Linked DNA regions of Oryctolagus cuniculus. The protein of the gene in region 1 purifies or fractionates together with the protein of each later gene. This does not show direct contact. Links are inferred from orthologs where the notes say so. Each region holds a gene or a part of one and is shown in the gene's direction. Other genes may lie near its edges.

The links. Proteins that work in one complex are often made in the same cells at the same time.
Region 2: the proteins of STAT3 (region 1) and PTPN11 purify together in Homo sapiens (affinity purification with western blotting; 3 studies listed by BioGRID). This does not show direct contact. The link is inferred for Oryctolagus cuniculus from reciprocal best matches to the Homo sapiens genes STAT3 and PTPN11.
Region 3: the proteins of STAT3 (region 1) and PIAS3 purify together in Homo sapiens (affinity purification with western blotting; 5 studies listed by BioGRID). This does not show direct contact. The link is inferred for Oryctolagus cuniculus from reciprocal best matches to the Homo sapiens genes STAT3 and PIAS3.

The regions. Positions count from the first base shown.
Region 1 is NC_091448.1:20,492,034-20,499,312, forward strand, and holds part of STAT3 (signal transducer and activator of transcription 3), read left to right. Parts: intron 1-1,579; coding exon 1,580-1,663; intron 1,664-2,249; coding exon 2,250-2,348; intron 2,349-2,436; coding exon 2,437-2,572; intron 2,573-3,571; coding exon 3,572-3,624; intron 3,625-3,859; coding exon 3,860-3,954; intron 3,955-4,065; coding exon 4,066-4,205; intron 4,206-4,670; coding exon 4,671-4,883; intron 4,884-7,279. UniProt on the Homo sapiens protein: Signal transducer and transcription activator that mediates cellular responses to interleukins, KITLG/SCF, LEP and other growth factors. Once activated, recruits coactivators, such as NCOA1 or MED1, to the promoter region of the target gene.
Region 2 is NC_091452.1:9,755,922-9,763,200, forward strand, and holds part of PTPN11 (tyrosine-protein phosphatase non-receptor type 11), read left to right. Parts: intron 1-3,403; coding exon 3,404-3,596; intron 3,597-4,654; coding exon 4,655-4,771; intron 4,772-5,692; coding exon 5,693-5,806; intron 5,807-7,279. UniProt on the Homo sapiens protein: Acts downstream of various receptor and cytoplasmic protein tyrosine kinases to participate in the signal transduction from the cell surface to the nucleus. Positively regulates MAPK signal transduction pathway. Dephosphorylates GAB1, ARHGAP35 and EGFR.
Region 3 is NC_091438.1:49,037,057-49,043,998, forward strand, and holds the end of PIAS3 (E3 SUMO-protein ligase PIAS3), read left to right. Parts: intron 1-64; coding exon 65-170; intron 171-708; coding exon 709-782; intron 783-898; coding exon 899-1,059; intron 1,060-2,051; coding exon 2,052-2,185; intron 2,186-2,265; coding exon 2,266-2,434; intron 2,435-2,619; coding exon 2,620-2,753; intron 2,754-2,891; coding exon 2,892-2,929; intron 2,930-3,400; coding exon 3,401-3,667; 3' UTR 3,668-4,065; coding exon of another isoform or gene 4,066-4,083; 3' UTR 4,084-4,514; downstream 4,515-6,942. Other genes in the region: NUDT17 (nucleoside diphosphate-linked moiety X motif 17), read right to left, coding at 4,851-5,007, 5,293-5,429, 5,610-5,708, 5,981-6,073, 6,178-6,203, 6,419-6,602, 6,765-6,942. UniProt on the Homo sapiens protein: Functions as an E3-type small ubiquitin-like modifier (SUMO) ligase, stabilizing the interaction between UBE2I and the substrate, and as a SUMO-tethering factor.

The DNA.
Region 1 (7,279 bases):
GTACATCGGAGTTAAAATTAGAAAAAAGAAGAGCACAACTTGTTCTGTTCTCTCCCTTCTGACTTACTTCTGCCTGCCATTGATCCAGACTATTGGATTCTTGATGTCAACAGTACACTTTTTAAAAATTAGGTAAACAGCGCTAAAACTAGTTTGTAGTGATTTTTAAAACTTAGAATATCTTGTGCTTTTTCTGATGTTTGTCCACTAAGCCATTCTTTTTTTTTTTTTTTTAAGATTTATTTATTTTACTTGAAAGAGTTAACACAGAGAAGGAGAGGCAGAGAGAGAGAGAGAGAGAGAGAGGTCTTCCATCTGCTGGTTTACTCCCCAATTGGCCGAAATGGCCGGAGCTGCGCTGATCTGAAGCCAGGAGCCAGGAGCTTCTTCCAGGTCTCCCACATGGGTGCAGGGGCCCAAGGACTTGGGCCATTTTCTACTGCTTTCCCAAATCATAGCAGAGAGCTAGATCAGAAGTAGAGCAGTAGGGACTTGAACTGGCGACCATATGGGATGCTGGCACTGCAGGCGGCAGCTTTACCCGCTACACCACAGCACCGGCCCCCACTAAGCCATTCTTAATGTGTGTGGCATATTTATTTAGAAAAAGCAGAATGTAAAATAATTTGAGTAATGTAATAGTATGTTTGCTTAAAAATATGATTATGTGTGTATGTAACATTCTAGAGAAATATACACCAAATGGTGCCTGTATATCAGTGTTGCTGAATCTGAGGCTGCTCTGTGCCATCTTATTATTTGTACCATCTTAGTTATTTGCCTTTTAGACAAAGTGTCTTACTTTTACAATCAGAAAAAGCATATTTTCACATGATTTGGAATTCTTTTTCTGAGAATTCATTAGTACTCTTGTTGCAAAAATGTTGCTGCAGCGCTGGCAGGAGTAGACATTCTCCCAGTCTCTTTGGGAATAGCCGTACGGCAGCAGTGCAGATCCTGAGACGGCACAGGGGGTACCACAGAGCCTCAGCTGCCTGCCTGTGCGCTCTGAACGTGACCCAGACGAACGGCCATCAGCACTACACTCACACACGCTGCTCAGCCTGAACAGGAGTGAGCGGCAGATGCACACAGCCACAGGGACCCCTCCGTGGGTGACCTGAGGCACAGAAGAACACACGGGGTAGACTCCACGTGTACAGGGCTCCCAGACACCTCAAAGGAAGCTTACAGATGCTGTCTAGGGAAACAGATAGACACACTAAGAACAGCTAGGACGACAGCCGCTACTTCCGAGGGAGGAGGGACGGGCCTGCTGAGAATCTCAGGGGCTGTGGTCTCTTCCTGAAGGGGGGTGGGGGGGTGGGCGCACAGGAGCTCGCGGTTTTGTTATTCTTTGTGCCATACACGTTTTATAAATAACCGTCGGATCTGTGTGATACCAGAACCAAAACAGAGTGGAAAGTCGGGTCCCGCTCTTAGCATTGAGGAGGGCACACACGCTGAGCCGGGTCCCAGGCCGTCTGTGCGTGGCCACCTGGCGCCTTGCCCAGCTCCGAGTCGCGAGGCCGGGACTCTGCCCTCAGCGGGACACAGGGTGCACTTGTTGTTCCTGCAGGCCTCCCTGATTGTGACGGAGGAGCTGCACCTGATCACCTTTGAGACTGAGGTGTACCACCAAGGCCTCAAGATTGACCTGGAGGTGAGCCGCACGCTGTGCAGGGCTGGCTCGGGACAGAGCCCCGCTGTGGGGTCGTGACCAGCTGAGCGGCAGTGGTCGCCGTTTGCGAAGCGCCCTGCTGGGGGTTCGGTTCTCTGAAACATTCCTGGTGGCCCGCTTGAGCATGGCGTCCTGAGAGCTCAGAATACGCACACACACGTGATACGGGAGGTCCCAGTGTGCAGAGGAACATGGCAGAGGCCTGGGAAAGCAGGAATCCCTGTGTGCGGTTTCTCCCACCTCGCTGTTTCGTGGGAAGAGGCGGCTTTACTTTTTGGAGAATGCCTTCCGGTGTTAATGGGGACTTGGCGGCCTGTGAGCCGGGGGTGACTTCCGAGCTTCTGGGTGTGTGCAGACGGCAGCCTGCGTCCCGAGGCCTTGCCCAGCATTCTGTCCCCTCCCCTCGGAGTGTTGTGCTGACTTGGCGCCGCTCCGCGCCAGAGCTGGCAGCGGGTGTGCCTCCTGGCGCATCCTTGTATGCCAAACCCTGCCTGTGAGGAGGGGGTGCAGCCTCTGGAAGCTGTGGCAGCCGCAGTGACCCCCCAACTCCTTGCCCCACTTTGTGCAGACCCACTCCCTGCCCGTGGTGGTGATCTCCAACATCTGCCAGATGCCGAACGCCTGGGCGTCCATCCTGTGGTACAACATGCTGACCAACAACCCCAAGGTCGGTGCCCGGGGCTCGCCGGTAAGGACCCAGCACCGGTCACTGGCACCACGCCCTCGTCTGAACGGCGACCGCGGTGTCTTCACAGAACGTGAACTTCTTCACCAAGCCTCCGATCGGGACCTGGGATCAAGTGGCCGAGGTGCTGAGCTGGCAGTTCTCCTCCACCACGAAGCGGGGGCTGAGCATCGAGCAGCTGACCACGCTGGCCGAGAAACTCCTAGGTTCGCTGTCACCTCTTCTTCCCCTGCCCTCCTCAGACGAGGAATCTGGCCCGGGGGGCTCTCCTGCAGTCGGTGTGCCCTGAGCAAGGCACTGTGCTCGGGCAGGAAGCTTTTGCTCCGTGAGGTTGGGCGTCGGGGTGCAGGGACCTGCCGCTCGCTTCTATGAGGTGGGAGGGAGATTTTTCCGTTTTTCTCCTCTGGTTGCTGTCTTTCCTGCCCTTTGAGGATAATATCTTGTCCAACCTTATAAAATTTTTTTAAATAAACTTGTAAAACAATTATTTCATTTGAAAGGCACAGAGAGATTGAGATCTTCTGTCCACCGGGTCACTCCCCAAATGCCTGCAATAACCATGGCTGGGCTAGACCAAGGCCAGGCACTCAGAACTCAATCCATGTTTCCCACGAAGGTGGCAGGGACCCAAGTACTTGAACTATTTCCTGCTCCCTCTCAGGGTGTGTGCTAGCAGGAAGCTGGATCAGAAGCAGAGTAACTGGTACTTGAACTTGGCACTCTGATAATGGGGTGCAAGTGGTGAGTCAACCACTACACTGAGTGCCTGCCCCATCCTTTTAGGATATTTAATGTGTTTCTCAGAAGGTGGTGCTGAAGACCTGATGTTTTCTGTCCATTTCTTCGATAAACTGTAGCCTAGTTTGAAGTTTTTCTCCCCTGGAGAAAGTTTCTAGAATGCTCTGTGTGTCACCTGGACTATGGATAACTTTGGTGCTGCCATCAACTCTGTCAGCTTGATGGTGTGTGCTGCTGCTCCCCATCATCCGCTACCTCTGCCCAGCTGCACAGCAGCCCTGGAGGGCCAAGGGATGGGAGAGGGTGTGTGCATGTGCGTGTGTGCGTGGACACGAATGGCAGTGGCAGCCTGCAGACACGTGACAGCCAGTAGCTCCATGGCCTGTTACGGGCCAAGTGTGTGTGCTAAGAAGTAAGGTGTTGACTCAGAGCTGAACATTTGCTACTTTTCTTCTTTGTCCCTTCAGGACCTGGTGTGAACTATTCAGGGTGTCAGATCACATGGGCTAAATTTTGCAAAGTAAGCAACCGTTTTACTCCTTGCTGTTGTCTCTTGGGAGTGAGCATGGGAGCGCGTCCCTAAAAGATGGGCATAGTGCTTGCTGGGCCTTCAGGCCAGTGACTTCTGGTCCAGTGGCTTCTAGGACCTCCTTGAGGGCAGGGGACCTAAGGAGGTATTTTTGGGCAGTGCCCTCTGCCCCAGGGAGAAAAGGCTGGGGTGGCGATGGACTTGATTTCCCCATTATTTTCTTCAGGAAAACATGGCTGGCAAGGGCTTTTCCTTCTGGGTCTGGCTGGACAACATCATTGACCTTGTGAAAAAGTATATCCTGGCCCTTTGGAATGAAGGGTAGGTTGAGCAGAGAGCGCCCGGGGTAGCCAAGTCACCTGCCTCTCAGCCCCAAGGCCCGGGACCAATGGCCTGGAGCCCCAGCAATGCTGTCCTCCTCTCCGGCTCCAGGTACATAATGGGCTTTATCAGCAAGGAGCGGGAGCGGGCCATCCTGAGCACCAAGCCCCCAGGCACCTTCCTACTGAGATTCAGCGAAAGCAGCAAAGAGGGAGGTGTCACCTTCACGTGGGTGGAGAAGGACATCAGTGGTAAGTGAGCTCTGCTGCTCCCTCGCGGCGGGGCTGGTTCTGAGCACTGCTGCCCTCTGGCGGGCAGAGATGGCCTCACACTCCCCTGCCCCACGCAGACAGGTGCGGCCACCTTTGAACTCCTGCGTCTGAAAGATTGACTTGCCAGTCTGTTTCGCTTGTTCCAGTGAGCAGTGTGTTCCAAGAAATTTGCAGTTGAAATTTTTTATTCTTCATCCTCTTTCTTGCCTACCCTCACTAACACATCTTACTCCGGTCTGTTGCCTATGGCCAAAATGATAGTCTCTGTCATAGTCATCCTGGCCCTTTCCACAGTGCCAGGCCACAGGGAGGGGTATTCAGGGGCGCGAGCGCTGGCCTGCCATAGGTCTGTCCCCACCAAGGAGACACGCCTGGGGGGAGTATGCTGTGGGAGTACGCCTAGCCGCAGGTGCCAGCACCTCTCCTTCCCACCTCGTGCGACAGGGAAGACCCAGATCCAGTCGGTGGAGCCGTACACCAAGCAGCAGCTGAACAACATGTCGTTTGCTGAGATCATCATGGGCTATAAGATCATGGACGCCACCAACATCCTGGTGTCTCCACTCGTCTATCTCTACCCCGACATTCCTAAGGAGGAGGCGTTCGGAAAGTACTGTCGGCCGGAGAGCCAGGAGCACCCTGAAGCTGACCCAGGTAGTTGTTGATTTTCCACGTTCCCGTCCTCCTTCTTGGGAGGAGCTGCAGGTTGCGGGGTCCTTGGCGGAATAACCTGGGAGACCCTCGTTCTCCTCCTGGGGAGGAGCTCGCCAGGCGCTGCTGGCCGTGGCCGATGTGATTTGAGAGAAGAGTGGACTCCGGGTGGCCAGCCCCTGCCCCACAGGGAGCACCCCAGTCTGAATGGGGAAATAGGTCACCCCTGCCCACGAAACGTGAGAGGACTGGATGCCCAGCTAGCACGGTGCTTCCTGTGTTGGGGGTGCCAGCAGGGCCGGGACGGAGACCTGAGCCCCGCAAAGCACCGGAGCAGTGGCAGGAGGACTGCAAAGCTTCCTGGAGGACACGGGCCTGGCGGTGCCAGAGCAGGGAGCACCGCGGAGGAGGGCTCGCAGGGGTGAAGGCAGCCGGTGCGAGGGGTGTGGGATTCGCATGTAGGATGTGCGGCTATTAAAATCAGTTTTTAAAGATTTATTTATTTGAAAGACAGTGACAGAGGGAGAGGAAGAGATACGTTACACCTGTGGCCCCTGGGTCCTTGGTGTGAACCGTGGGTAGGGGGAGCCCTCCTGTCTGCGTCCATCACACGCTTGCCACTCCAACTCTGGCTGGCTGTCCCCGCACCTGTCCTGAGGAGCAGCCTCTGGCTTGCATTCTTCTTTCCCTTTTCTAAAATTGAATTTCCTTCCTTCCTTCTTTGAGAGACAGAGTGCCCCCATCTGTTGATTCACTCCCCAGATACCTGCAGGGGCCTTAGCAAAGGCTCACGCGTTACCTGAGCCATCACTGCCGCCTCCCGGGTCTGCGTTAGCCCGGACTCCGAGCCCGTTCCACCGTGTGGGACGCAGGCGTGTCAGCCGGCACCGGCTTAACCATTAGGCTAAGCGAACGCCTGTCCCGAGTCTTGGTTCTTATTTGGCTTTTCTTACTCATGGAGCCAGCGGTGGGCTCTTTAACGCGCTCCTTTGGAGCTGGTTTTCCCTGCATGAGTAGTTTCTTTAAAAAAGCAAACTGGTTTTGTCCAGATCTCACACACGCTTTTTCATAGGCGCTCCCTCCGAGGGACTTCTGGGGGCGGGGAAGAGGGGTTTGAGCTCGCCGACGGTTGGCTTTCCCTTTGTTCTGGTGTGGAGTTTCGCTAGGCAGTGGAGGGTTTAACTCTGACTTCCTGTCTCTGCTTATCTCTCTCCCCACCTTGCGCTTCAGTTGGGAGTCGGGTCTATCAGCCCCTCTCACGCTCCCTTTGTTCCCTCTCGCACTGCCCTTGGCCCAAGCGCCGGGCCTGTGCACTAAGGTCGGCTGCAGGATCCCAGCTGCGGGTCTGGGGCCGTGTCTCCCTTGCCAGGGTGCGCCGAGGGTCTTGCTGTGTGCATTGCCGTTGGGCGGAGGGGGGGGCCTGCACGCATGTTACGTGTGAGAGTCTCAGAGATGGGTCTTTCCCGGTCCTTTCTCCTCCCTTTCCACCGTGAGCCCACACGGTGTCCCCTTGGCTGGAGGGAGGGATTCTGAGCCACTTGGAGATACTCCAGCCTTGTGCGGAGCCCCCAGAGGCTGCCGCTCATCCTTGTGTCTGCTGTCCCTTCTCAGCTGTCTGGCTCGTAGGGAGTTAAACCCCTTTCCATCTAGGGCATCAGCTCCCCTCAGGCCTGCTCTGTAAGACCCCAGAACCTGCCTTACCCTCTGCCATCCTCTCTGAAGTATTCAGTTTCTTGAGCCAAAATGAACGCGAGTGGCCACCTTGCAGGCCTCTCAGACCAGCCTCTGCGCCTGGTCCCTGTTTCCCTGAGCCCCTCCGTGAGCCCCCCGCTATACGATTCCTTCTCTTGCCCACCCCATCGCGTCCTGTGCTTCCTAAATGCTTTATCCTCCGTACCTCCCCAGAGTTCACGCCGCGTAGGCAGTCAGCATCCATGATTCAGTTATTCAAGTCCTCACTTTTTAAACTATAGAACAAGTACCATCAATGGCAGGGCCCACAGGTAGTCAGCGCCTCTCTTTCCCCTCTTATTTTATGCTAGAGAGAGAGAGAGAAAGACAGATACAGATTCCATTGTCCTGGGTCTCTTAGCCGCTGAAGACGAGCCCAGGCCTCGCCTGCTAGTTTGCTGGCTGAGCCAGTTGCACCAGAAGACCTCTCCCCTGAGTAGGGAAGCTGCTGTTTGCTTGATAGATTTATGCAGCTGGGACGTCCGCAGTGCCCTCCTCCAGCGTGTGGGCGAGGCAGGCTGATGCTGATGGGGACAGGAGGAACGCCCTTGGCTTTGGAGCCACAGGCGTCTGCAGACTCTGTTCCTTTGAAGACCTGGTAACCCTAGTCTTGGATGCCGTGCAAAGACCACACATAGGCTTGGTCCCCACGTGCAGAGCAGTTATCTGAG
Region 2 (7,279 bases), on another chromosome or scaffold:
ATGCAAGTGCAGTGTGGTGAGTTGTGTGTGACTTACCGACTCCAAAGCTGGTGTCTGTTTCTCAGTGAAAATGTTACTAAAGTAAGAAGAGTAGTATCAAGTTATTCTCAGATTGGCCTTGCCTTGCAGAAGCTTGATAAAGCGTTCCTTGGACTCACTTTGCGGGGTCTCACGCTGTTCCTGTACATACGTGGCACCTGCAGTACTTCTAAGCTTTGTTGCACTTCAGTTGAAAACCTTTGAGGGTATTGAGAGGAAGACAAATGGTAATGGAGACACCAGGATTGCAACAGCTCTCTGGGCGGCTCCTGACCAGTAGTTACTCAGCAGTCCACCAGCAGATGTCAGTTGAAGCCTGGAAGTGGAAAGGCAGAGAGAACTTGGAGGGCCAGCTTTGTCATCCGTTCTTTTCATGTTATATTCACGAATGTGGGAGGGCCCTTATTTAACGGGAACTGCATTATGTTGGAGATCTTCCCCTGGTGTGGGAACCAAGTGATGCAAGCTGGGGCCTGGCCGACTTGCACGTCTCGTACTGGGTTTCTGCATCCCCGGCCGCCTCTGATTCAGCACAGGTGCAGGGTCTGCTACTGAGGTTTGTCTGTCTGTATCGGCAGGTGTGGGTTTTTTTTTTTTTTTCCAGCTTTACATCATTACATCAGTGCTGTTCATGTGCCAATAATTTGTTTCTGACTCCCCCTGCAGCTTCCATGCAGAGGCTGTCGGCCAGCTCTGCAGTTCGTTTCTACGCTGCACTCTTTCCAGTTGAGTGTGGATGAGAAAGAACTCAGAGACCTTTCCTTTAGTGATGGACGGTTAGCATAACCCGCCTCAGTCATGCTTGCTTTCCTACTGAGGTCCTGAGGGAAAAGGCCCACTGCCTACGTGGCTATGTGACGATGCTTCCCACAACAACTTAGAGCAGTGTTAGCTCAAAGTCTGTCCTTGAGTGACCTTTGGCGGCCTACGTCAGGACTCTGTGGCCTGCTGGTTAAGCCTCTAGATTTTTGGGTCCATTCGGACTTAAATGTATTAATTGATGACTCTGAGTATGGGATGTGAGAATTCACATTTTTTTTAAAGTTTTATTTATTTATTTGAAAATCAGAGTTACACAGAGAGAGAAGGAGAAGCAGAGAGAGAGAGAGAGAGAGAGAGTCCTCCATCTGATGGTTCACTCCCCAATTGGACACAATGGCCAGAGCTGTGCCCATCCGAAGCCAGGAGCCAGAAGCTTCTTCCTTGTCTCCTACATGGGTGCCGGGACCCAAGGACTTGGGCCATTTTCTGCTGCTTTCCCAGGCCATAGCAGAGAGCTGGATTGGAAGTAGAGCAGCCAGGTCTCTAACCGGTGCCCTTATGGGATGCCGGCGCTTCAGGCCAGCCCCGAGACTCCACTTCTTGAGTGATCACCGACTGCCTCCCAGGGTGTGCATTAGCAGGAAGGTGGAATTGAAGTGGAGCTAGGACTCAGACCCGGATACTTTGATATGGGTGCAGGCATCCCAAGTGGTGTTCCTATTGCTGTGCCAAGTGGTGTTCCTACTGCTGTGCCAAGTGGTGTTCCTACTGCTCTGCCAAATGCCTGCCCCTGCAGTGTTTTATTAGAACTTCCTTATGTGGCTATGATAGAAAAATTGGTCTTTTAAGAGTGGGCAATCAAAAAGGGCAAATTGCGTTTTTAAAAAATGAGAGATTTGGGGCCGGTACTGTGGCCCAGCAGGTTAACGCCCTGGCCTGAAGCGCCAGCATCCCATAAGGGCGCCGATTCTGGTCCCGGCTGCTCCTCTTCTTTTTTTAATTTTATTTATTTATTTATTTTTTTATTTTTTGACAGGCAGAGTGGACAGTGAGAGAGAGACAGAGAGAAAGGTCTTCCTTTGCCGTTGGTTCACCCTCCAATGGCCGCCGCGGCCGGCGCACCGCGCTGATCCGATGGCAGGAGCCAGGTGCTTCTCCTGGTCTCCCATGGGGTGCAGGGCCCAAGCACCTGGGCCATCCTCCACTGCACTCCCTGGCCACAGCAGAGAGCTGGCCTGGAAGAGGGGCAACCGGGACAGAATCCGGCGCCCCAACCGGGACTAGAACCCGGTGTGCCGGCGCCGCAAGGCGGAGGATTAGCCTAGTGAGCCGCGGCGCCGGCCTCCGGCTGCTCCTCTTCTGATCCAGCTCTCTGCTATGTCCTGGGGAAGCAGTAGAAGATGGTCCAGGTCCTTGGGCCCCTGTACCCAAGTGGGAAACTTGATAGAGGCTTCTGGCTCCTGGCTTCATATGGGCGCAGCTCTGGCTATTGTGGCCATTTGGGAAGTGAACCATCAGATGGAAGACCTCTCTCTCTCTCTCTCTCTCTCTCTCTCTGCCTCTCCTCTCTCTGTGTAACTCTGACTTTCAAATAAATAAATAAATCTTTTTTTTTTTTTTAAATGAGAGATTTAATTGAAAAACTGGAAGACATTTGTCTCCAAATGACTGTGGGCTCTTTTAAAAAGTCGAGTGGTCATTGTAACATTTTTGTCATTTTCCCGTCTTCCTGGACTGCAAATTCTGTCTTATGTGAGATTGATGAGTCCCTTGCCGGGACTAATTCGTAATTGTCTTAGGAGAGCTGACTATATATGGTAGTTTTTTGTTTATTTATTTATTGATTGATTGCTATTTCCTTGAAATTTATATAAACTTTCTATATAATCTGCCATACAGTGCCATGTGCCATGCTTAAAAATCATTTCAGACTGGCCGGTGCCGTGGCTCAGTAGACTAATCCTCCGCCTTGCGGCGCCGGCACACCGGGTTCTAGTCCCGGTCAGGGCGCCGGATTCTGTCCCGGTAGCCCCTCTTCCAGGCCAGCTCTCTGCTGTGGCCCGGGAGGACAGTGGAGGATGGCCCAAGTGCTTGGGCCCTGCACCCCATGGGAGACCAGGAGGAAGCACCTGGCTCCTGCTTTTGGATCAGCGCGGTGCACTGGCTGCAGCGCGCCAGCCGCGGCGGCCATTGGAGGGTGAACCAACGGCAAAGGAAGACCTTTCTCTCTGTCTCTCTGTCTCTCTGTCTCTCACTGTCCACTCTGCCTGTCAAAAAAAAAAAAAAAATCATTTCAGTGATGAGAAGGATGCTTTGTATCCAGAACATACGTGTGGACGATCATATGAAATCATAGATAGGATCTGCAAAATATCATACGAAATTGCAAGAGCAAGCCAGTTAATCCAGTGGCATACTGTCTTGAGTAGGGAAAATGTGGTGAGGCTATGAATTTTGCTTGTGAATGAATGAGGCAGTGGTCCTCACCTGGGGTTTTACTCTGCAGGAAACGTTAGCAATGACTGGAGTGTTTACGGTAGTTTTAGAAAAGAATGTTGTGAACTGGCAGTGGAACTCAATTTGTTTTCATTCTTAAAACCAGGTGGTTTCACGGGCACCTCTCTGGGAAAGAAGCAGAGAAATTATTGACTGAGAAAGGAAAACATGGCAGCTTCCTGGTCCGCGAGAGCCAGAGCCACCCTGGAGATTTTGTTCTCTCCGTCCGCACTGGCGACGACAAGGTGGAGAGCAATGACGGCAAGTCCAAGGTGACCCACGTCATGATTCGCTGTCAGGTAATGCTCCGCCCGGCCTGCAGGGCTGCAAACTGTCACCCTGGGGGGTTTTCACCTGCGAGGAGACAGATGCTGTGCGGCCCAGGTCAGCGTTTCTGCGCTTAGTCAAGGGCTTCTGCACTTGTGGTATGTTGATTATAACTGTTTCAGGATTTCAAAACTCTTTTGAGTTATTTACTTCCAGGTTATCTCTGGCAGATTAAATCATGCCTAACAACCCCCTCTCCCCCCATGATGGGAATGCTTGAGATCTACTCTTCTAGCAAAGTCCAGTCTGACAAGACGTTTTTACTGACTGTGGCCCCTGCGCTTCCGCATCCTACTGAAAGCTGTGCACTCTGGCCAGCCCCGCCCCTTGCCCCAGCCCCTGGTGACCACTGTTCTGCTCTGTGTCACCATGGGTGTGTTTTTAGCTTCCAGTTGTGAGTGAGCTCATGAAGTGTTTGCCTTTCTTTCCTGGCCTTTTACACTTATGTAATGTCTGCAAGTATAATGTTGTCACACATGTCAAGATTTGCTCCCCCTCCCCCCTTTTATGGCCGAATAATTTTCCAGTGTTTGTGCATGCACACATATACATACACACACCACATTTTAAAATAAAGATTTATTTATTATTTGAGAGGTAGAGTTACAGAGAGAGAGAGAGAGAAAGGTCTTCCATCCACTGGTTTACTCCCCAAATGGCTGCAGTGGCTGCAGCTGGGTCGATCTGAAGCCAGGAGCTTCTTCCGGATCTCCTGTGTGAGTGAAGGGGTCCAAGCACTTGGGCCATCTTTCACTGCTTTCACAGGCTATAGCAGAGAGCTGGATCGGAAGAAGAGCAGCTAGTACTTGAACCAGCACCCCTATGGGATGCCAACACCACAGGCAGAAGCTTAGCTTTCTGTCCCATAGCACTCCCCCCTCCCCCATTTTTATTCATCTGATCCGTTGCTGGACGTGTAGGTTGTTTCTGTATCCCATCTATTGTAGATATTGCTGCCGCGAACACAGGAATGCAGGAAGCACAATAGTTAAACACAAAGGTAATACATGCCGTCTTTTTGTCTTGAAAGGAACTGAAATACGATGTTGGTGGAGGAGAGCGGTTTGATTCTCTGACAGATCTGGTGGAACATTACAAGAAAAATCCTATGGTAGAAACCTTGGGCACAGTGCTGCAACTCAAGCAGGTAAGTGGCTCAGAAAGCTACAGCTCCTTCTCCTTTTAAAGTTTTGAAACCCCAATTTAGAGTTTTCCGAACTTACAGGGGTAGACAGAGTAGCGCTGTCAACGTCCATGTGCTCGTTCTTCAGCCTCAATTGTAACTGATTCTTTAGTCCTTCCTTCTGTATGCTGTGTTCACTGGCCACCTCCGTGGTGTCTGGAAACCAAGTCCAGATGTTGTGGAATTCCACTGGTGTCTGTGAAGAGCCTGATGGCTTTAGAGGAAGCTTTCAGCATGGATCCACTCTGGTTGTTGTTAGGTGACCACATGGACATTAAAGTTGTTGCTATTTCGGAGTTCACCCTTATGACAGTGGCAGATGATAGAATTTTTCAAAATAATGTTGTGGTCTATTTATAAAGAAAAATAGGATTGAATTTTTATCAGCAGAGTAATGTGTGTGTGGAATTGAAGAAAGTTTCGTTTCCTAGCAGCACAGAAGAGAAGGTGAAACTGCATTTGAAAACTTAAATAAATTATTATTATTTATTTTCATTTTATTTGAAAGAGAGTCAGAGATAGACAGAGAGAAGGCTTCTATCTGCTGATTCCCTTCCCAAATGGCCACAACAGTCAGGACTGGGCCAGGCCAGAGCCTGGAACTCAGTTTGGGTTTCCCATGTTGGTGGCAGGGACCCGAGTACTTGGGCCCTCACCTCTGCCTCCCAGGCTGTGCATAAGTGGGGAGCTAGGATCAGAGGTAGAACCAGGACTAGAACTCTGATGTGGGAGACAGGTGTCCTAAGTGGCCGAACGCCTGCCCCTGAATTTGAGAATTTTATTGTGGCATACCGCATCCCGAGAGGCCTGTCCTTGCCTGCAGGCTTTCTTTATATATTAACATTATATTTTCTTCATTTTACACCTACTGCTGAACTTGATCAGCCCCTCAATACAACCCGTATAAACGCAGCTGAAATAGAGAGCCGTGTTCGAGAACTGAGCAAACTGGCCGAGACCACAGATAAAGTCAAGCAAGGCTTTTGGGAAGAATTTGAGGTAAGTTCTTAAAAAGCTTTTCACATGAAGTTATTAAATCCTATTTTTGGTAGAAGAGAAGTTGGTCTTGTTTTTGGACTTGGATCTGAAACACTTGAATCTGACATCCTTTCTTAATTCAGCCATTGATTGACGTGGAACAAGTTGCTGAGGGGCCTCTTTGAAATAGAAGGGCGCTGTGTTCCCAGAGACGAGTTGGCAGTTAGTACGGAACGGGCGCGCCAACAGCTCCATTTGGCTTTTTTGGTTTGGACCACTGGCAGAAACTCAGAAAAACAAAAGTATCTAATTCCTTTGGAGGATTTCCAGCATTCACTGGGGTCTTTAGAAAAAATCTATAGCCTTATTGCAGTGAGTAAGTCAAAGACAAATGGCTCATGTTGGCTCTAATTTAGGACTGACTTGGTATCGTTGGGAAGCTAAGGGAACCCATTTCTCTCCTGAAAGCAGCTTGGGTGGAGAATGTCCCTGATGGGGCTCTGCGCAGTTCTCCTGCTCTTCCGTGTAACTTACCTTCGACACTGTGATCTCTTTCTGTTCGCATCTATTTGAGTGAAACTTGTTCAAAAACAGAAATTCTGGCATATTGCCCTGTGTGGTTGTCCTCTGCATTTAGCACTCAGCAAGGTCTCTTGCACGTAGCAGAAACTCCATGAATGTTTGTTGAATGAGTATTTATATTTAGCTAATGCTTACATAATGTAAAAAGTTTTTTTTTATTTATTTGAAAGAGAGAAAGATAATCTTCCTTCTGGATTACTCCCCAAATGCCCACAAGAGCTGGGTCTGGGCCAGGCCGAAGTCAGGAGCCAGGGACTCCATCTGGGTTTCCCACGTGGATGGCAGCCTTGCTCTGCTGCCTCCCAGGGTGCCTCCCAGGGTGCACGTTAGCAGGAAGCTGGCTTGGAAGTGGGGGTTGGGTGCCATCCAAGATCCCGGGCACTTCAATGTGAGATGCAGGCGTCACACGCAGCAGGCTACCCCTCCGTGCCATGATGCTCGCCATCATTTCGTTATGACTGTTCTTTTTGATGGAACTGATCATTCCATACTTTTGGTGAGACTTTTGCGTTTACAAATAGTTGTGGAATGAACGATTGGGCAGTGTTGCCCTTTTAGCCCTGGCGTGTCAGAGCAGCACGGTGAGCTGGCTAACATTTCCGTTCTGCAGGTGCACAGCTGAGGCTCAGGGAGTTTAAACTGTCCAGACCTGACATGGGCTGAGCTCCAGCACTGGGGATGGGTGCGGCCCAACAGCGCAGAGCAGAGACTTGAGTCCAGGCTTATTCTCTCTTATCAGGCGTGGGGTCAAGTGCTAAGGGCACTGTAATGAGCAAGGCAGAACAGATTTTTGCCTAAAGGAGCTGCGCATTGAAAAGCATCCCTGAAAAGCGATGACGAACGTAACGAGCCGGGATTTCAAACTCTCCAGCTCACCGCTTGCCTCATTCTACCCCTTCTGCCTACTTAACA
Region 3 (6,942 bases), on another chromosome or scaffold:
ACAAATGGGGGTGATGGTGGTCTAAGAAGTCCAGGCTAATTGTGTCCCTCCCACCTCCAAGTAGAATTACTCCTTGTCTGTGTACCTGGTGAGGCAGTTGACTGCAGGGACCCTTCTACAAAAACTCAGAGCAAAGGGTATCCGGAACCCAGACCATTCCCGGGCACTGAGTGAGTAGCATCCTTCCCTTTCTCCCTCTGATCTACAGTCAAATCTTCCTGGTCCTCTAGCTTTCATAACCAAACCCATTCCCCATCTCTGACAACTTTGCTTTCATGAACCTCATCCCTTCTCCTTCCAGTCTTCGAGGTTGAGAAGTTGGCCAACTCCAGTGCATTCCCAGTCATACATCTGCTTTGCACCTCACAGAGCCCAACTCCAGCCCTGCTAGAATATGGATTCTCTGAACTGGAAAGTGTTGGGGATCAACTAATCTCACCTCACATGATGTTCAGTTCCTTCTAGATCCTTTCTAACACAGCCAAAGGTCACCTAGCTATGATTAAGCACCTTTAGGGATGTAGAAATCCTCCCAGCGTCCAGCCTTCGTAATACAGATTCCAGACCAACCCCATGTGACATCCCATGGGCCCCCAAAGACTCTACCCAGCTGCCTCTCAGCCAGAGCCATCTGCTTCTGGCCTCACCAACTCCTGGGTCTCTCCCAGCCTTGCTGACCCCATGATTCTGCCCTCACTGTTGTTTCAGTCAAGGAGAAATTGACCGCTGACCCTGACAGTGAGGTGGCTACCACGAGTCTCCGGGTATCACTCATGTGCCCGGTGGGTACCGGGGGATAAGGGACAAGGGAGGGAGTGGGGCTAATCCTCTGGACTCAGGAGGGGGGTCCCTGCAGATTCCAGAGTGGGGCCTCTGACTGGAGAACTGCTCTCCGCAGCTCGGCAAAATGCGCCTCACTGTTCCTTGTCGCGCCCTCACCTGCGCCCACCTGCAGAGCTTCGATGCTGCCCTTTATCTGCAGATGAATGAGAAGAAGCCAACGTGGACATGTCCTGTGTGTGACAAGAAGGCACCCTATGAATCTCTTATCATTGATGGGTAGGGCCACTCTGCTTCCTTTTACCTAGGCTATCTCCTCTACCTCGCCTTGTTTTACCTTTATGTGAGAGCCAGAGAGACAGACAGCAAGACAGCTCTCATTTGCTGGTTTGCTCCCCCAAAATGCCCCCAACAGCTGGGGCTGGTGGGCCAGGCTGAAGCTGGGAGTTGGGAACTCAACCCAGATCTCCCAGCTAGAGGGAGGGGACCTAACTTCTTGAGCCATCATTTGCTGCCTCCCGGGATCTGCAATGGCAGGAAGCTGGAACTGGGAGCCAGAGCCAGGAGCTGAACTCAGACACTGTGATAGGGGCTGCAGGCATCTTCACCACCAGGCCAAACACCTGCCCCAGACCCCCTTTAGTACATATGGCTTATTTCTCCTCACCAGGAGAACCCCACGTCTCACCGTGTCCCTCTACTACTCCACATATGTGGTGACATTAAGGACTTAGTATAGATAAGGCATCTTGATGCTAAGCACTTTGCATGCATTATTGCACTAGATCTTCCTCATAACCCTGTGAGGTAGGTACTTCATTACAGAGGGGGTAACTCAGGCTTGGAGATTCTTACTCAAGGCTGCACTGTTAGCAGCAGAGGCCAGTGTATCGCTCGTAACGACTCCCTGACCTCCCACTAAGGAGGCGGTGAGGTCCTCCTGAGGGCCTGGGGATGCTGATCTGGCTGGTCTCGGGCCCTGTCCTGAGCCTATGTATGGTTCTTGGTCCCAGTGCCTTTTTGGGGGTGGTTGGTGGAGTTCTGCCTCTCTGCTTCTGTCTTGTTCCTAGACCATGCATAGCTAGGGCTCAGCTTGTGTTCACTTTAAAACATACAGTTTGTAAAGCTCTTATTTGATTGCAACAACTCCAGGAGGTCCCGTAGTTTGGACAGGATCCCTCTATTGCCCAGGAAGGTGAGTCCTGCATCTCTCTGGCCACTGTGGCACTCAATTCCCAGCCCCATGAATTTCCACCTCTTCCCTCCCACAGTTTATTCATGGAGATTCTAAATTCCTGTTCGGACTGTGATGAGATCCAGTTCATGGAAGATGGCTCCTGGTGCCCAATGAAGCCCAAGAAGGAGGCGTCTGAGGTTTGCCCCCCGCCAGGGTATGGGCTGGATGGTGAGTGACCCCCTGTCCCCCAGATGAGCTAGACCTTGGCTGGCCTTTTCTCTGAGACACAGTCTTCTCACCACTTGCAGGCCCCCAGTACAGCCCAGTCCAAGAGGGAGCTCCAGCAGAGAATAAGAAGAAGGTGGAAGTGATTGACTTGACAATAGAGAGCTCCTCAGATGAGGAGGATCTGCCTCCCACCAAGAAGCACTGTCCTGTCACCTCGGCTGCCATCCCAGCCCTGCCGGGAAGCAAAGGGTATGAGAAAGTAGGCTGACTCCGCACTAGGGAGGGCACAGCAGAAGTCAGTAGTGCTCTCTGCTCACCGGGCAAACCTGGGGCCAAGGGAAAGGCAATGGGGACAGAGAGGACCCTTGGGGAGCTGGGCGGGGTGGGGCATCTGGGGTTCGCCGGCTGCCCCAGCTCCTTCTCTCCACTCGCAGGGTCCTGACGTCTGGCCATCAGCCGTCTTCGGTGCTGCGCAGCCCTGCTATGGGCACACTGGGCGGGGATTTCCTGTCCAGTCTCCCACTGCACGAGTACCCACCTGCCTTCCCCCTGGGGGCCGACATACAAGGTACGACCCTGCTACCCACTCCCCCGAGCCCAGCAGAGCCCTTGCTGCTCACCAGGGGCCGGAATCCCAAAGACTTGCCTGTCTTGGTGCTAAGAGGGTGGGACAGGAGGGTGATTTGTATTTTCCCTTTCCTCCCAGGTTTAGACTTATTTTCTTTCCTTCAGACGGAGAGTCAGGTACGTGGTCCCTTCTCCCGTGCAGCTCTGATTGGGGCCCACACAGAGACCCGGATCCGCTTTTCTCAGGGGAGGTGGGGTGCGGGCAGCACTGGTACTTCCTCAGATTGCCACTTAGATCTTCCTGGATCCCTTACTGTTCTGTCCCGAGGGATTCTGGTGAGCTTCTGGCCCTGCCCCCCCCCCCCCCCCCCCGCAACCTGTGTATGCTTAAGAGCACCAGACCTGCCCCAACTGGACAGTCCACATATTTCAGACACCCACAAAGGCCAAGAACCTAGCAACCCAGAAGGGCTGTGTCAAGGCCTGGAAAAGGGGTGGCGTGGCAGGGAGGCAGGGGGAAGAGTCAGAGAGAGGCTTCTTGCCTCCCAGGGAACACCTTAGGGTCCCCATAACAGTTCTGGACCCTGTGACCAGGAGGCGGGGCTGAGTAGGGGTAAAGTCTGACACTGTGCCCTTGATCCCTCCCAGCACTACGGCCCCTCTGTCATCACCTCTCTGGATGAGCAGGATGCCCTTGGCCACTTCTTCCAGTACCGAGGGACCCCCTCCCACTTCCTGGGCCCACTGGCCCCCTCGTTGGGGAGCTCACACCGCAGCTCCACTCCAGCGACTCCTCCTGGCCGGGTCAGCAGCATTGTGGCCCCCGGGGGGGCTTTGAGGGAGGGGCACGGAGGCCCGCTGCCCTCAGGGCCCTCCCTGACTGGCTGCCGGTCTGACATCATCTCCCTGGACTGAGTCCCTTGGACTGTGGAGCCTGTGCTGCCCCCCACCCCGCAGCAGGTATGCTGTGGCCGCCTGACCTTTCTGGGGACTGTGGTCAGAGGTCAGGCCTGACTTTTCCTGGAGACCTACTGGTGGCCTCATCTTTGCTTGACAAGGCCAGCACCCAAAGGGTTAATATTTAACCTCTTCAAGGACATGGAGGGGTCTATTTTTGGAAATAGTCTTCAGATGGCTGCACATTCCTTTGGGTACCTAGGCCAACAGGAGGGGGTGTGAGTCGGGGGGAGGGGCTGAACCCCTGGCCTCTACTCTGTCTAGAGCCTCTTGGCAGAGGGGCCCTCTCTTCCCATCCCCCAAACCCAAACTTTCATTGTTTCTTCTTGTCTATTCCGCTCCCTTTGGCCATGCAGATGAGATGGAGAAACTGAGACAGGCGATTTCAGAGATGGACAGAGAACTCTATTTTGGGTTGCAGATATTTTGTACATAAACAAGAAAAACCAAAATACTCCAAAGATGACTTTCCCAACCTCCTACTTCCCAGTATAACTGAGGAGATGAGGCCTTAGCCGCGATCCCCAGGGGTTTGGGAGCAGGGCCTAGCCTCTTGCCTGGGTCTCTATTTATATATTTAAGTTCACAGTGTTTCTTAAGCTGACTAGCCTGGGGCCTAAGCGTCTAGAGGCCCGTGGCCCTGTAGTCAGGCCTGGCTTATTCTGCACCTTTCCTGGGAAGTGGGGGGACCCACGTGCCCTCCTTTGTCGGGCCCCTCCAGGGCCCAGCATACGTGTTGCAATTTTACTTTGTATTCCCAAAGTTGTAGCAGGTTTCTCACCCATAATAAAGGTTGTGAATGTTCTGTGAGCGTCGTGGAGGTGGGCTCTGGAGGGGATTACCCACTTCCCTTTCCAGAGCGCTGGGGTAGGGGAGGAGGGTCCACGTTCTGTTCTTCCTTTGCGACCTGGGTCCACGCTTGCCACACTGAGGACTTCCCAGAGTAGTCGGTTTTCCCTCGCGCCCCCGCCCATAACACCACCAGACCACTGGAGCCCAGCGCCACAGAACCCTCTCATGCCCCCCCACCCCGAACACCACCAGAGCACTCCACAGTGCCACAGAACCCTCCCGTGCCCCCGCCCAGACCACCACCAGACCACTCCAGCCCAGCACCACAGAACCCTCCCATTCCTCACCTTTACCGGCCCAGCTGCTGTAGCCAGAGCCCGAGGGCAAACTTGGTGCCAGAGCTGACTCTCTCCGGGTTGTCCTCTGCGGTAGGGGGGGTGTTCCGCAGCAGCGTGGATGTGGGGAGCGCCACGGCTCGGGCCCTGCCCTCCTCTAGTTCCATTGCTCTGCATGGGGACAGCTCCTGTCTGGGCTTTGCCTTGTTGGGCTTTCATATGTTAGGTCATCTACTCTCAACTACTGTAGCAGGTGGGTGGCTAGCTGTGAACCTCATTTTACAAAAAGGAAGCATGTTCAAGGAGGGTTAAGGGACTGGCTCCCATGGGAGAGCTTTGAGTCAAACTCTGGACCTCCGTGCTAGGCAGCTGGAGTCCTTGATCTCATGTGGTTTCTTAATTCTCAGAAAATCAATGGGGTGGTGGGGTGGGTAGAGCTCAGGGAAAAGTTCTTACCCCACAGAGAGTGGTAGGTCCGCGGGGAGGATTCTGGGTGCTTCTGTCCCATCCTCCGTGGCAGCCACTGCAGCTGCGATATCTGGTCCCAGCCACATAAAAGCACTCACTTCACTTGGGTTTGGTTGGATCCTGGCCTAGGGTCAGACAGGACCCCTCAGTCCCGGCTTCTCCCTGGGAGGCCTGTCCTTGATACTAGCCTACTTGCAAGCGGAATGCTTAAAGACAGGGGAGGAACTACTGGATGCTCTTGGTGTCTCTGCCCCGCCCCCTGTGATCCCCTGAGCCCCATTTCCTTCCTCCCTAGCCAGCCTTACCTGCAGCTGCTGCTGTGACTCCTGGGAGATGACGAGTAGATAGAGAACAATGTGATGGTATTTGGGGAAACCCCAGCTCAGCCTAGGCGGGTAGGCAGACTGAGAAGAAAGGCAAAAGAGAGGGCTTCCTGTCTCTGATTCTGAGACTTAGTAAGTACAGCTCTGGGGTGGGCCCACAGCTGAGGAAGTGGATGGTAGACACGGTGCACCAGGGACACAGGTGAGGGTTTGGGCCTCTCCCACTTCCTCTGTGGCTAAGGCAGCGTCTGCGGACTTGCTGCTGGTGGCGGCAGTGGCCGTGGTGGTAGCAGAGTGTTTGCTGAGGTCTCTTGGTTAAGTGGGAAAGGATGGTCCCCAGGTCCCTGGCTCACCTCCCATAGTCCCAGAGGGACCCAAGAGAACTGGCCCTGTGCCAGCCGCAGTCCAGTCTCCTCCCAGAGCTCTCGGAGTCCTCCATCCAGCAGCTGGGAGTAGGAGAGAGGGCGGGTCAGGCGGCCAATGCCTTTTGCTCCCCCTGTCCTCAGCCCACACCCAGTGGAGGGGTGCCCGTTGGGTCGCTGACTGGTACCTCCTCATCCAGTTCCACATGTCCACCTGCAAGGAGAGTGGGGACCAAGAGGTGAAAGGTGATTGTCTTCACCAGAAGCCCCACCTCCAGGGGTCTCCAGATGCAGCTGCAGCAATGTGGACAGGCCACACTTCCGGGCCCGCGTCTCCATTCCAAGACTAGGAAGTGCAACGTGGGGTGGGGGGTGGGGGGAAGGCAGGTTTCTTCTCTGGCCTTGGGGCTTTGTCCCCAGAGTGCTCACCTGGGGGTACCCAGAGGTTGGGGGAAACGCGGAGGGTGCGTGTCCTTCTGGTCAGCAAGACAGTCTGGTCGCTGGACTGCAGAATGACGGCCACACCCAGATCCACACCTCGATTCGCGGGCAGCTCAGCACCGGGGGGCCTGGGCTGCTGGTCCAGTGCCGCAAAAGGGCAGAAAGGGGGTCGCTGGTGGGAGGGAGCCTGGGTTAAAGCTCCAGGAGCAGGGCAGGGCCACCGCGCGGAGAGGGAGGCCGGAACGCTCGGCCTCTCGCCGGAGGTTTCCCACCCGGTCGCAGTCCCTGTTTCGGACCTTCCCCACCCGTCGCGGGCCTCCCTCCTCCTGCCGACCTGGAGCGGAAGCTTAGCCGCGGAGCCTGGGAATGGCTTGTCCGAGAGGATCAGTCGTCCTCCTTCCAAGCCGCAGTACGTGGGCCACGGCCCCGGCCCGGGCCCAGCGCCCAGGAGGCCACACACGCTTCGCGCGAAGCTTACGGACTCCAGACGCCCGGCCAAGAGCAGCTGCACG